Linked DNA regions of Caenorhabditis elegans. The protein of the gene in region 2 purifies or fractionates together with the protein of the main gene of each other region. This does not show direct contact. Each region holds a gene or a part of one and is shown on either strand. Other genes may lie near its edges.

Region 1 (3,899 bases), on a different chromosome or scaffold from region 2:
TCTTACGACAACATGCACAAAACTTTAAAATTGTGCAAAATATGCTTTTTGGGTAAACACGTGGTGTCAGAGTGTCCCATTTCGGCTTGATCTTCTTAGATCTACAAAAAATGCGGGAAACGAGACGCAGAGTTCTCAACTGATTTCGCATGGTTAAGAACGTGTTGACTTCACATTTTTTTAGGCAAAAAATTCCCGCATTTTTTGTAGATCAAACCGCAATGGGACAGATTGGCGCCACGTTTTAAAACCTGTGCGTTTTGCCGTAAGATTCGGTGTATCGCGTACTCTTAGGGCACAAGTAACCCGTAATGCGTCATATCTCTGAAAAAACAAAACTTTGAGCACTTTTCTTTACTAAAAACGTTTTTTTTTCAATTCTAACCCTGCACATTACAAGATTTTCAACAGAAAATTTGATAGCCAGGAAACAAATTTTCTTCTAATTTTTTTTTTTAATTTTCAGGTCGATAACTTCATGAAAGTGGCTGAAACTGAACGTCCGGCGGGTGGAAATCGATATCGAACATCTCAATACCCAAAAGCTACAAAATCCGAGCAAATGATTTTGAAAGTTACCTAAAAAAAGTTTGAAATTTTGCCAATTTTGCCAATTTTTCCCCAACCGTCCCAATGTATTTGTCTTTTTATATGTTTTTCAAATTTTATTTAACGAAACAATTTTCAAAAAAATACTCCAATTAATATTCTGTCTTGTCCGGTTTGTTGGACCACATTTGGAATGGGAGTAGGTAGTTGTCGGCTGCCAAATGCTCCAATTTTCGGATTTCATCGCTTTTCGGGTCTTTTAGGAAGTCGTGGAATGCTTTGTCGTCGAATCCAATCTCGGCCGCCTGGAAGAACTTGTTTTATTTGGAAAAGGTTTTTTTTTTTGGGTTACTGTGTCACCGAAAATACGCAGTGCACCAAAGCTTACGACAAAATGCACAGTTTTTTTTTAAATTGAACTGAAAAAAGGTGCAGAATTCGATTTTTTTAGTAAAAAATTTTGAAAATTACTTTTTCCAAGGGTTTCCACAAATTAATGAACTTGAGAAAATGCACAAAATTATGGATTTTTACAGGCAATTTCTAGATTAGGTCTATAACTGGTTTGAACAGATTCGGTAAAATTTCAAAAGTTTGTGATTTTGCCGTAAGGTCCGGTGTATTGCGTACTTTTGGTGCTACAGTAACCCAAAGTTTGAAAAATAACCCCGAACGTCACTAAAATTGATAAAAGCTCTTAAAGAGACAGTAATAGTGTAAAAAATTAGTTTTTATGAAAATCACCTGCTGAGCAGTTGCTCCGTAGTAAATTGCGTCGAATCGAGCCCAAAGGCATCCGCCCATGCACATTGGGCATGGATAGCAAGATGTGTACAAAATATGTCCAGATAGGTCAAAAGTTCCTGAAAACGTGAATTTCAATTAAAAACTTATCGAAAAAAAACGTCGAAAAAATTTAGCATTTTTTAACAGAAAAATAGTTAATCGTTGTTTTTTTTCAATTTTCAAAAATAATTTTAAACTATCTAACTTGTAAAATTATGTGAAAAAATTTGCTCTAATTCGAGAAAAAATTCTGCAACTTTTTTTTTGAAAAAAAAAATCCTAAAAATCGCAAAAAAATTTTTTAAGAAATATAGGAAATCGAGGTTGTAAAATTCAAATGTTATGTCAATTTATCACTAGATGCTCTAAATATTCGTGTGCCTACCCAATGCCTTGCAGGCATTCTTAATAGCAGTCATCTCGGCGTGCATTGTCGGATCCTTGGTGACCAGCACCATATTGTGGCCTTTTGCGACCACTTTCCCGTTTGAATCAACTACAACCGCACCGAATGGTCCACCATCTCCACACTCGACACCTCGACAAGCTTCTGCGACAGCTTCGGCCATGTGCTCAGCGTGATGGGGTGGGAGAGGCTTATCAGAGGCGGATGGGCTCATTTTATAGTAGGAGTTGGGGAAGGTTCTGAAAAAAAATTAGTAAGGTCTGACGAAGAAAGGAAATTTTCGAGGTGAGCAGGCGGGTTTTTGTTGAAAAAACTCCCAAAAAAGTAAATAAAAAATTCTAAAAATTCAACAAAATGCAACAAATTTTTCCCCCAAAAAACCCAAAAATTCGCGTCGAAAGTGGCAAAACGTCTTTGAAACAGGTCACGATCATCATCGTCTTATCACAAAGTGATCCCTTATCAGCGACGAGCTTTTCCACCCCCAGCTGCCCGAGCCAACCACGTGAGCTCCGCGAGCACTTTCTTTTTTTTTTTGGTTTTTCTGGTATGATGTCTGTTGTAAGATTATTTAATTGATAAGAAATTAAAAAAGGTTTTGATAAGAAAATTTGTGAGAAATGGAAGAAAATTGAAAATTTATGGGGGCCTAGTATCAGGTGAGAGAGTGGCAGGGGAAAGTGCAAGAGGTGGTAGATCAAATAATTAAAAACTGAAGCTTTTGCGGGGAACTCGGCATTCACCGCCAGCTTCTTGCCCAAGTTTCACCCAAGAAAAATTAACATGGATTAGAAGCTGGCCAAACTTGGGCAAAACTTGGGTAAAACTTGGGCTAAACTTGGGCTAAACTTGGGCAAGACCTTGGTGATTATAGATGCGAATTATGCCGCGCTTTTACTTTATTCTTTAGACGATTTCCTGTGGAAAATATTTATTTAAGGACAAAACATGAACAGGGTTAACAACAAAAATCAATTACAAAAAAAAAACAACGAAAAATTAAGCTTCAGTGGGTGGAGTCTTTGACCGATCGTCCAGCAGCGGAGACATCATGCTCATTGCGTTGACCGGTTGCACTGTAATGAAAATGTATTGGTTTATCGATTAAAAGTATTGAGTTACTTACAATCTGATAACTTCTTCTGGTGACGTTTCCATCCTCTGATGCTGTTCTCTGAACTTTCGAACCTGTCCCCACTTGAGATGATGCTCGCAATAAGATGGTTTATTGCAGTTGAATAGTGCTCCTTTGGCAATATCAAAGTGATATGTTCGAAGATTGTTCCTGAAATCATATCATTTTTTTTTACATTTTACAATTTTTACGAGATTTCTTACATTGCTTTGCCAAGGGCTTCTACTGCGTTCTTGAACACTGTGATTCTTTCGTCCCTACGGCGCTGAACCTCAAGTTCTGCTCCTTCTCCAAGCGTTTTGATGAATCTAGAAGAAATGAAATGAATAATTCAAAATTGTTTAAAGTTGGTTCATGTCTTACTCATGCTCCCTATCAATCGAACCGTATGACAGCTCAACCGGCAAATAAACTCCAACAATATCGAATGCGACTTCTGAAAAAAACATGATTTTGTGATTAGAAATTGTTCACATCTTAAACGCACCAATAATCGCTGTTGTCACTTTTTGTGGTAACTCTTGAAAATGTCTATCAACACGGCGAACACAGCTTGGTCGGTAAGTAAATGCCCAGATTTTATAAGAAGGCTCCAGCATCTGAATTGAATTTATTATTTTTATATATCAAAATGTCAACTTACAGTTTTCAAGGCAACCATATAGAAATTTGAAAGTTGCGAGACGGCATCACCTCCAATCAAGAGTTCAGAGTTATAAATATCTGTGAGATTACACGTAGGAAACCCGTCAGCTTGTGAAATTGTGTGGTTCATCGTAAGTGTTCGTTTCACGATACATCCAGCGTTCAACTGCTTTGAAATTTTCGATGTCAGGGTGTGCACGTTTGCTGCAAGTGCGGTGTAATTCCCATCCTTAGGATCCTGCATTTTAAACTGAAAAAAGTATTAGGATATGAAATTGATTAATTACGGCCTGCCATCATCATCTGTGCAATTTGAATAGACTCTTTCTCGTCTTCTGTAGATTGTCTGAGAGCCTGGACGAACTGTAGGATCGAGAA
Region 2 (6,208 bases):
TTACGCTGAACAACATTTCAGTTGGCAACTTTTTGATAACTCTTCTAGTTTTTCAGTTATTTGCGATTTAGTCGGAAAACTATTTGAAAAACCTGAAATTTGCGAAATTCAGCTGAAATTTCTGATGTTCTCCATTAAAACATCTGCCTGCATGTTGCATTACCCTGGAAAAATTATTGACACTAGCGGGGACTCGAACCCCTGGCTTTTTTCACCATAGCCGTCCATCTACCCAGTTGAGCCACTTTCACCATTTTTCAAAAATGCTGGCTAAAGCTGGAATTTAGGTGTCCCTGGTGTAGAATTTCACGGTTATTTTGAATATCAGATTTTCAGCCAGTTTGGTTCACCGGGAGCAGGTAGGAGCTCCGCGAGCAGTTTTAGGTGTCAAATTCGAAAATTACAAAATATTCTAAATGGGGGTCAATTCGGTGCAGAATTTTACGCTGAACAACATTTCAGTTGACACTTTTTTGATATCTACTCTAGTTTTCGAGTTATGCTTCGAAAAAGTCATAATTTTCATTAAAAAATAACTTTTTATTGCAAATTTCAACACACACACACACACACCATAAATAAGAGCAATAAATGTGACATTTTACAGTTTTAAAGAGTTAATCGAATTTTCCACTTCCAGAAGTGGCTGCATGAAGCCACTTGTCCACAGTATGAACGTCGTAAGAGGTGACGAATTTGACACGGCGATGGGTGTGCTGAAAATTGGTTTATTAAACAAAAAATTGATAATATCTAGATTTTGGACTGTCTGAGTGTTGTATATCTATTGTATATAACATTAAAAATACTAATAAACCCAAAGGGATTCGAACCCCTGACCTATTTCACAATAGCCTCATCAATCTACCCACCTGAGCCACTTCGCCCCATTTTCAAAATTGCTGGCTAAGGCTGGAATTCAACCGTACCTGATGTAGAATACTACGGGGAACCCAAAAATCATGTTTTAAATAAGTTTGGAACACCATGAGCAGCTAAAAGCTCCGTGAGCAATTTTGGGTATCGACCTTGAAAATTTGAAAATTTTTTATATGGGGGTCAAATCGATGCAGAATTTCACGCTGAACAACATTTCAGTTGGCAACTTTTTGATAACTCTTCTAGTTTCCGAGTTATGCCTCAAAAACTATACAGAACCCCAGATTTTTTGTTTTCACCTGATTCGGAGCTTCCTCATTCGACCACAGTTGCTCGGTCCAATCAACCACAACCTGCCCACGTGTCTTTGTTCCATTCAGCTCTACATCGACATACAGGTACTGAGACTTTTTTGCAATTTTATCCTCATCGATTGCAGTAGCCACAGCGATCTCGTCGCAGTAGGAGTATTGGCGGCCGTTGGCCTCGCATTTTACGCGGCCTGGAACATACAAATCGAATTTAGGAACTCTAAAAAAAAAATGTACTTGTTGACTAATCTACAGACCTTCGAACTCTAAAAAAATTATTGACACACTAGCGGGGCCTCGAGAAGCCCGGACCTATTTCACCAAAGCCGTACATGTACCCAGTTGAGCCACTTCGACCCCTTTACAAAACTGCTGGCTAAGGCTGGAAGTTGAGTTTTCTGGGTGTAGGATTTTGCGGGTTATCCGAAAAACGAAATTTCAATACGTTTGAAGCATTGGGAAAGGCTAGGAGCTCCGCGAGCAATTTTAAGTGTCAAATTCGAAAATTTGAAAATTATCGACATGGGGGTCAAATCAATGCAGAATTTTACGCTGAACAACTTTCCAATTGACAGTTTTTTTTTGGTATCTAGTATCTACCCTAGTTTTCGAGTTATAACTTTAAAAAACCTTACCAATGCTGGTGGCCAGCGATAAGTAATTAGCCAATGGGGTTCCATACTTCAAATGAGCCGAAAAATCAACTGAAGCATCATGGGTCTTTGATTCAAAATAGAATGCCTCCCATGGAACAATGGTGATGGGACACTTCATACGTCGGAGCACAATGCTCGCGGCTTCCGGGTCTCCGTGGAAGTTGTACTCGGCTGAGGAACCTGGAAAAATTAGGGGGGCTTTTTGGGGTTTGACGGGTCTGTATCTCCGTCGGTTTTGGGTTTGTCAACAAATTGTTAACTGATGAAATGTTTGTTACATGTTTCTGAACAGGTTTATAGTTGAAACTTTTCTAATATCTCAAAAATGAAACGAGATATGGCCCGCCAAAGTGGTCCACCCTAGTTTTTTTTTTGAAGAACCTACCTCCATCAACATTTCCGACCGCGTAATAATTTCCTCCCATGATTACCAGCCGGGATGGGTACGTCGAAAACTCCTCGCAGAGTTGGAGAGCAATCGCCACGTTTGTGAGGGGACCGATGGTTCTGAAAAATGGTTTTGTTGAAAATTTAGGGAAAATTGAGCAAAAATAGATTAAAATCGAAATTTGACACCCAGAATAGCTCGGCGTAGGCGAAAATGTAGGAGGACTGTATGGATACTGTAGGAGTACCGTAGGACTTTAAAAGGGTAATGTTGAGGTACTATAGGGGTAATGTAGGGGTACTGTAGGAGTACTGTAGGGGTACTGAAGCGGTACTGTAGGGTTTCTGTAGGGGGTCTATTGGGGTAGGGTAGGGAAACTGTCCAGGTACCAGGGATACTGTAGGGGTACTGTAGAAATACTGTAGGTATACAGTTATGGTACCATAGGGCTTTAGTGGAATTAGTGTAGGGTTACTGTAGGGTTACTGTGTGTGTACTGTGGGGGGAACAGTAGGGGTACTGTAACACTATTGTGTGAGTACCTGTTCGGTTACCAGAGGTACTGTAGGGTTATGTAGGGGATCTGTTGGGGTACTGTCGGGGTACTATAGGGTTACTGTAGAGTTGCTGTAGGGATACTGTAGTGTTACTGCAAGGGCACAGTGGGGAACTGTGGGGATACAGTAACACTACTGCGTGAATACTAGAGGGGAACTGTCCGGGGTACCAGGGATAGTGCAGGGGTACTGTGGGGTACTGTAGGGATAGTGCAGGGGTACTGTGGGGTACTGTAGGGATAGTGCAAGGGTACTGTAGGTCGCTGTGGGGGTACTGTAGGGGTACTGTAGGGATGCGGTGGGGGTACAGAAGGGTTACTGTAGCCTCAACTTACACCAAAGTGGCATCCCGATTCTCTCTCAAAATATCGATTAAAGCAAGTGACGCATGCTTCCCCTCCCCCTCAAAATCGGATCTTTCGACTTTCGGGAACTCCTCCGGCTTATCACCGATCCCATCGATCCCGAAAAAATCGGATACGGTATCATCCTTCGGCAGCGACAAAATCGATTTAGCCGCACCCTTGTACACTGGGATATTGCTCCGATCGTTGGCTCGGATGGTTCTTTTGATGTTCGCACAGGCTTGATCTACTGTCACACAGCCGTGGACTGCGGTGAATGCGAGAATTTCGGCTTTTGGGTGCTGCAAGGCTAGGGAGATGGCTCGCACGTCGTCGCTTACACCGTCAGAGTCTGAAAATCGATTAATTTTTGTTTTTAAAGCTTAAAATTTGGTAAACTTTATGTAAAACTTTAAAAATCGATAAAACTCGCTAAGCAAGCGCGCTCCAGTGAACTAGTCCGTTTTCCGACGCTAATTTCAAATTTTCAAGTGTTTTTTGACGAAAATAAGTGGAAAATTTGAAGACTTCTTGTTTTTTTTTAAATTAGAATTCTCGTTTATCATCTGAAAATCCGAAAAAATCGATTATTGAAGCGTCTAGACTCGTTTTTTTAAATCGCCAAGCAATGCAATCACGCTCCAATGACAAACTCAGTTTTCTGGCGGGAAGCTCGAATTTTCCAGTGTTTTAACGAAAATCTTCGGAATTAATACGTTTTCGGTGTATTTGAACGTAGAAAAGTAGAAATTTTAAAAAAGAAAAGAAAAAACTCGAGTTTTAACGAATTTTATAGAATTTTTTACTCAAAAATTGGTTTAAATTTGTTTTTATTCTCCGTTTAACTCACCAATGACCAGCTTAACCTTGTCCACAGTCATGTTGTCTTTTTTCTGAAGAGCGTAATGTTATTAAAGTGAAAAAATTAAACTTAAAATAACTAAATAAATATATGAATTATTTCTCGTCGCAAAAAACGCAACATTTGGGCAAAAATCAATCTGTCACCTGAATAATGCACACAATCTTATCATTTTTTATCAATTCTTATCGCATTTTCTTCGATTATTCTCGCTTTTTCGCCGTAATTCCGCATAAATGCGATAATTCGCGAAAAAACTACGGTTTTTCTTAAAGGCGCATAGCTCAAAACTTCAAATAGGTCTCGCCACGAATTCAGTGATGTGAGGGATTCGATGGAATTTTGAATTTTTAAAATCGATTTTTGCGATTTCTAGACGGTTTTTCGCCGTTTTTTCGGAGATTTTTGACGAAAAATGGAGAATTTCGACGGAAAATCGATGCCGCCAACTCCGGTGCCAATCGGATCAAGTCAGGTAGGGCAAAAATCCGGAAAAATCGATACAATTCACAAAAAATCCGAATTTTTTCCAGTTCTACCGCTGGATGCCGCACCCGATCGTCGATACACCACCGTCAGATGCTACGTGGCGCAAACCGGTGCCACGCGGCCGAATTCGTGATCTCGTCGCCGCGTTCGATCAGTGCTCCGGCATGCTGGAGCAGAAGCCCCCACCTCCGCCCACGCAAAGGGTTGAAAGTCTTGAAAATGGTGCGGAAATCAATCGATAATTGAGAAAATCGATAGGGGAATGCGAAAAAACTGGAAAAAAATGGGGAAAATTGAGAAAAATTGAGGAAAATGAGAAAAAAAAACCATTTCCCCCGGTATTTCTCCTATTCAAATGCAAATTTATAAATTCACATGTATTGTTAATTTATTTGCACTGTCAACACACCAACTATACAGTTTTTACATGGAAAATTGATTTTTTAGAAAAAACAATCGGAAAATCCCAAAAGTTTTGGGAAAAATCCAGAAAAAATGGGATTTTTCGCAAGTTTTCGGATGAAAATTATGGTTTAAATTGAATTTTGAGTGGAAATTTGCAAAATTGGACTTTTTCAGAGAAAATAGTTATAATTTGCAAAAAACTAATTTTTAGAAATTTTTTTTTCCAAAAATTCAAAAAAATTTTTTTTTTCAAAATTTTCATTTTAATTGGCAATTTACCATTGAGTTTCTGGTGAATTTCGAAAATTTTCTCTAAAAAATCCTGAAAAAACGGAAAAACCTCTGGAAAATTCTAAATTTCCAGCAAAACCACCAAAATTGTCGGATTTTGTGTTAAAATTCTGTAATTTTCGGTGGAAAAATCGCTAAAATTTAGAATTTTGTGATTTTAAGCTAATTTTAAGGAATATTGTGAAAAAAATTAAATTTTTTAAGAATTAAAAAAAATTTCAAAAAATTTTTTTTTTTTTCAAAAATTAAAAAAAAATTTTTTTTCGAAATATTCACTTTTTATTGGGAATTTTACGAATTTTGAGCGAATTTTAAAAAAATTCCAAAAAACGATAATTTTTTTGCAAAAAAAATTTTTTTTCGAAAAAAAAATTCAAGTTTTTCCAACTTTTCACATTTTTCTCAAAAATGATCTTCAAAATTCGAAATTTCCCGCCAAAAATAACCCATTTTTCTTCCAGAACACATTGCTCCACCGCCAACTTCAAAATCCTCCAAAATTCCGGAAATTCTCGCCAAAAAATCGGAAAAATACATCTCACCGTACGAAAAACGTCATTTTCATGGTCGTCGTGGCACCCAGGCTGTCGTTTTTAATTCGAATAATGCTCAAAATGCTCCAAATGTGGGCGGAGCCTATCCATATGGAGCCACACCGTTGAAATTGCGAAATTTGGCCCAAAAAATGGATAAAGAGGAGCTCTACGTGGCTGATGACGTTGGAATTTCCAAAAAATCTGAAAATTTCGAAAATTCCGATGATGACGTGGCAAAGTACGAAAATTTGCGGCAAAAATGCTATAAATTCGAAAAAAATTCAAATTTTGTAGCCATTTTTGACATTTTTCCTTTAAAAAAAAATCTAAAATGTCCAAAAAAAAGCCGCGAAATTCAAATTTTTAATTTTTTCCTATAAAAATCGAAAATTTGCAGAAATTTTTGAGGTTTTTGAGACAATTTTTTGAATTGCCCAACTTTTTTTTGTTAAAATATCGAATTTTAAGTAAAAAACTACCGAAAATTCGA

Evidence for each region.
Region 1: the proteins of Y43F8C.13 (region 2) and gda-1 fractionate together in Caenorhabditis elegans (co-fractionation; one large-scale study listed by BioGRID). This does not show direct contact.

What each region holds. Positions count from the first base shown.
Region 1 is NC_003281.10:11,024,587-11,028,485, forward strand, and holds gda-1 (CMP/dCMP-type deaminase domain-containing protein), read right to left. Parts: upstream 1,981-3,899; 5' UTR 1,956-1,980; coding exon 1,721-1,955; intron 1,413-1,720; coding exon 1,294-1,412; intron 855-1,293; coding exon 702-854; 3' UTR 653-701; downstream 1-652. Other genes in the region: putative voltage-gated potassium channel subunit kvs-4, read left to right, coding at 467-583; Y48A6B.8 (Wsv161), read right to left, coding at 2,748-2,817, 2,868-3,026, 3,080-3,184, 3,240-3,312, 3,364-3,475, 3,520-3,771, 3,816-3,899.
Region 2 is NC_003283.11:19,693,371-19,699,578, forward strand, and holds Y43F8C.13 (Nucleoside hydrolase), read right to left. Parts: upstream 4,029-6,208; 5' UTR 4,017-4,028; coding exon 3,986-4,016; intron 3,488-3,985; coding exon 3,127-3,487; intron 2,354-3,126; coding exon 2,232-2,353; intron 2,027-2,231; coding exon 1,826-2,026; intron 1,382-1,825; coding exon 1,179-1,381; intron 717-1,178; coding exon 618-716; 3' UTR 530-617; downstream 1-529. Other genes in the region: ani-3 (Anillin-like protein 3), read left to right, coding at 4,413-4,472, 4,531-4,708, 5,644-5,956.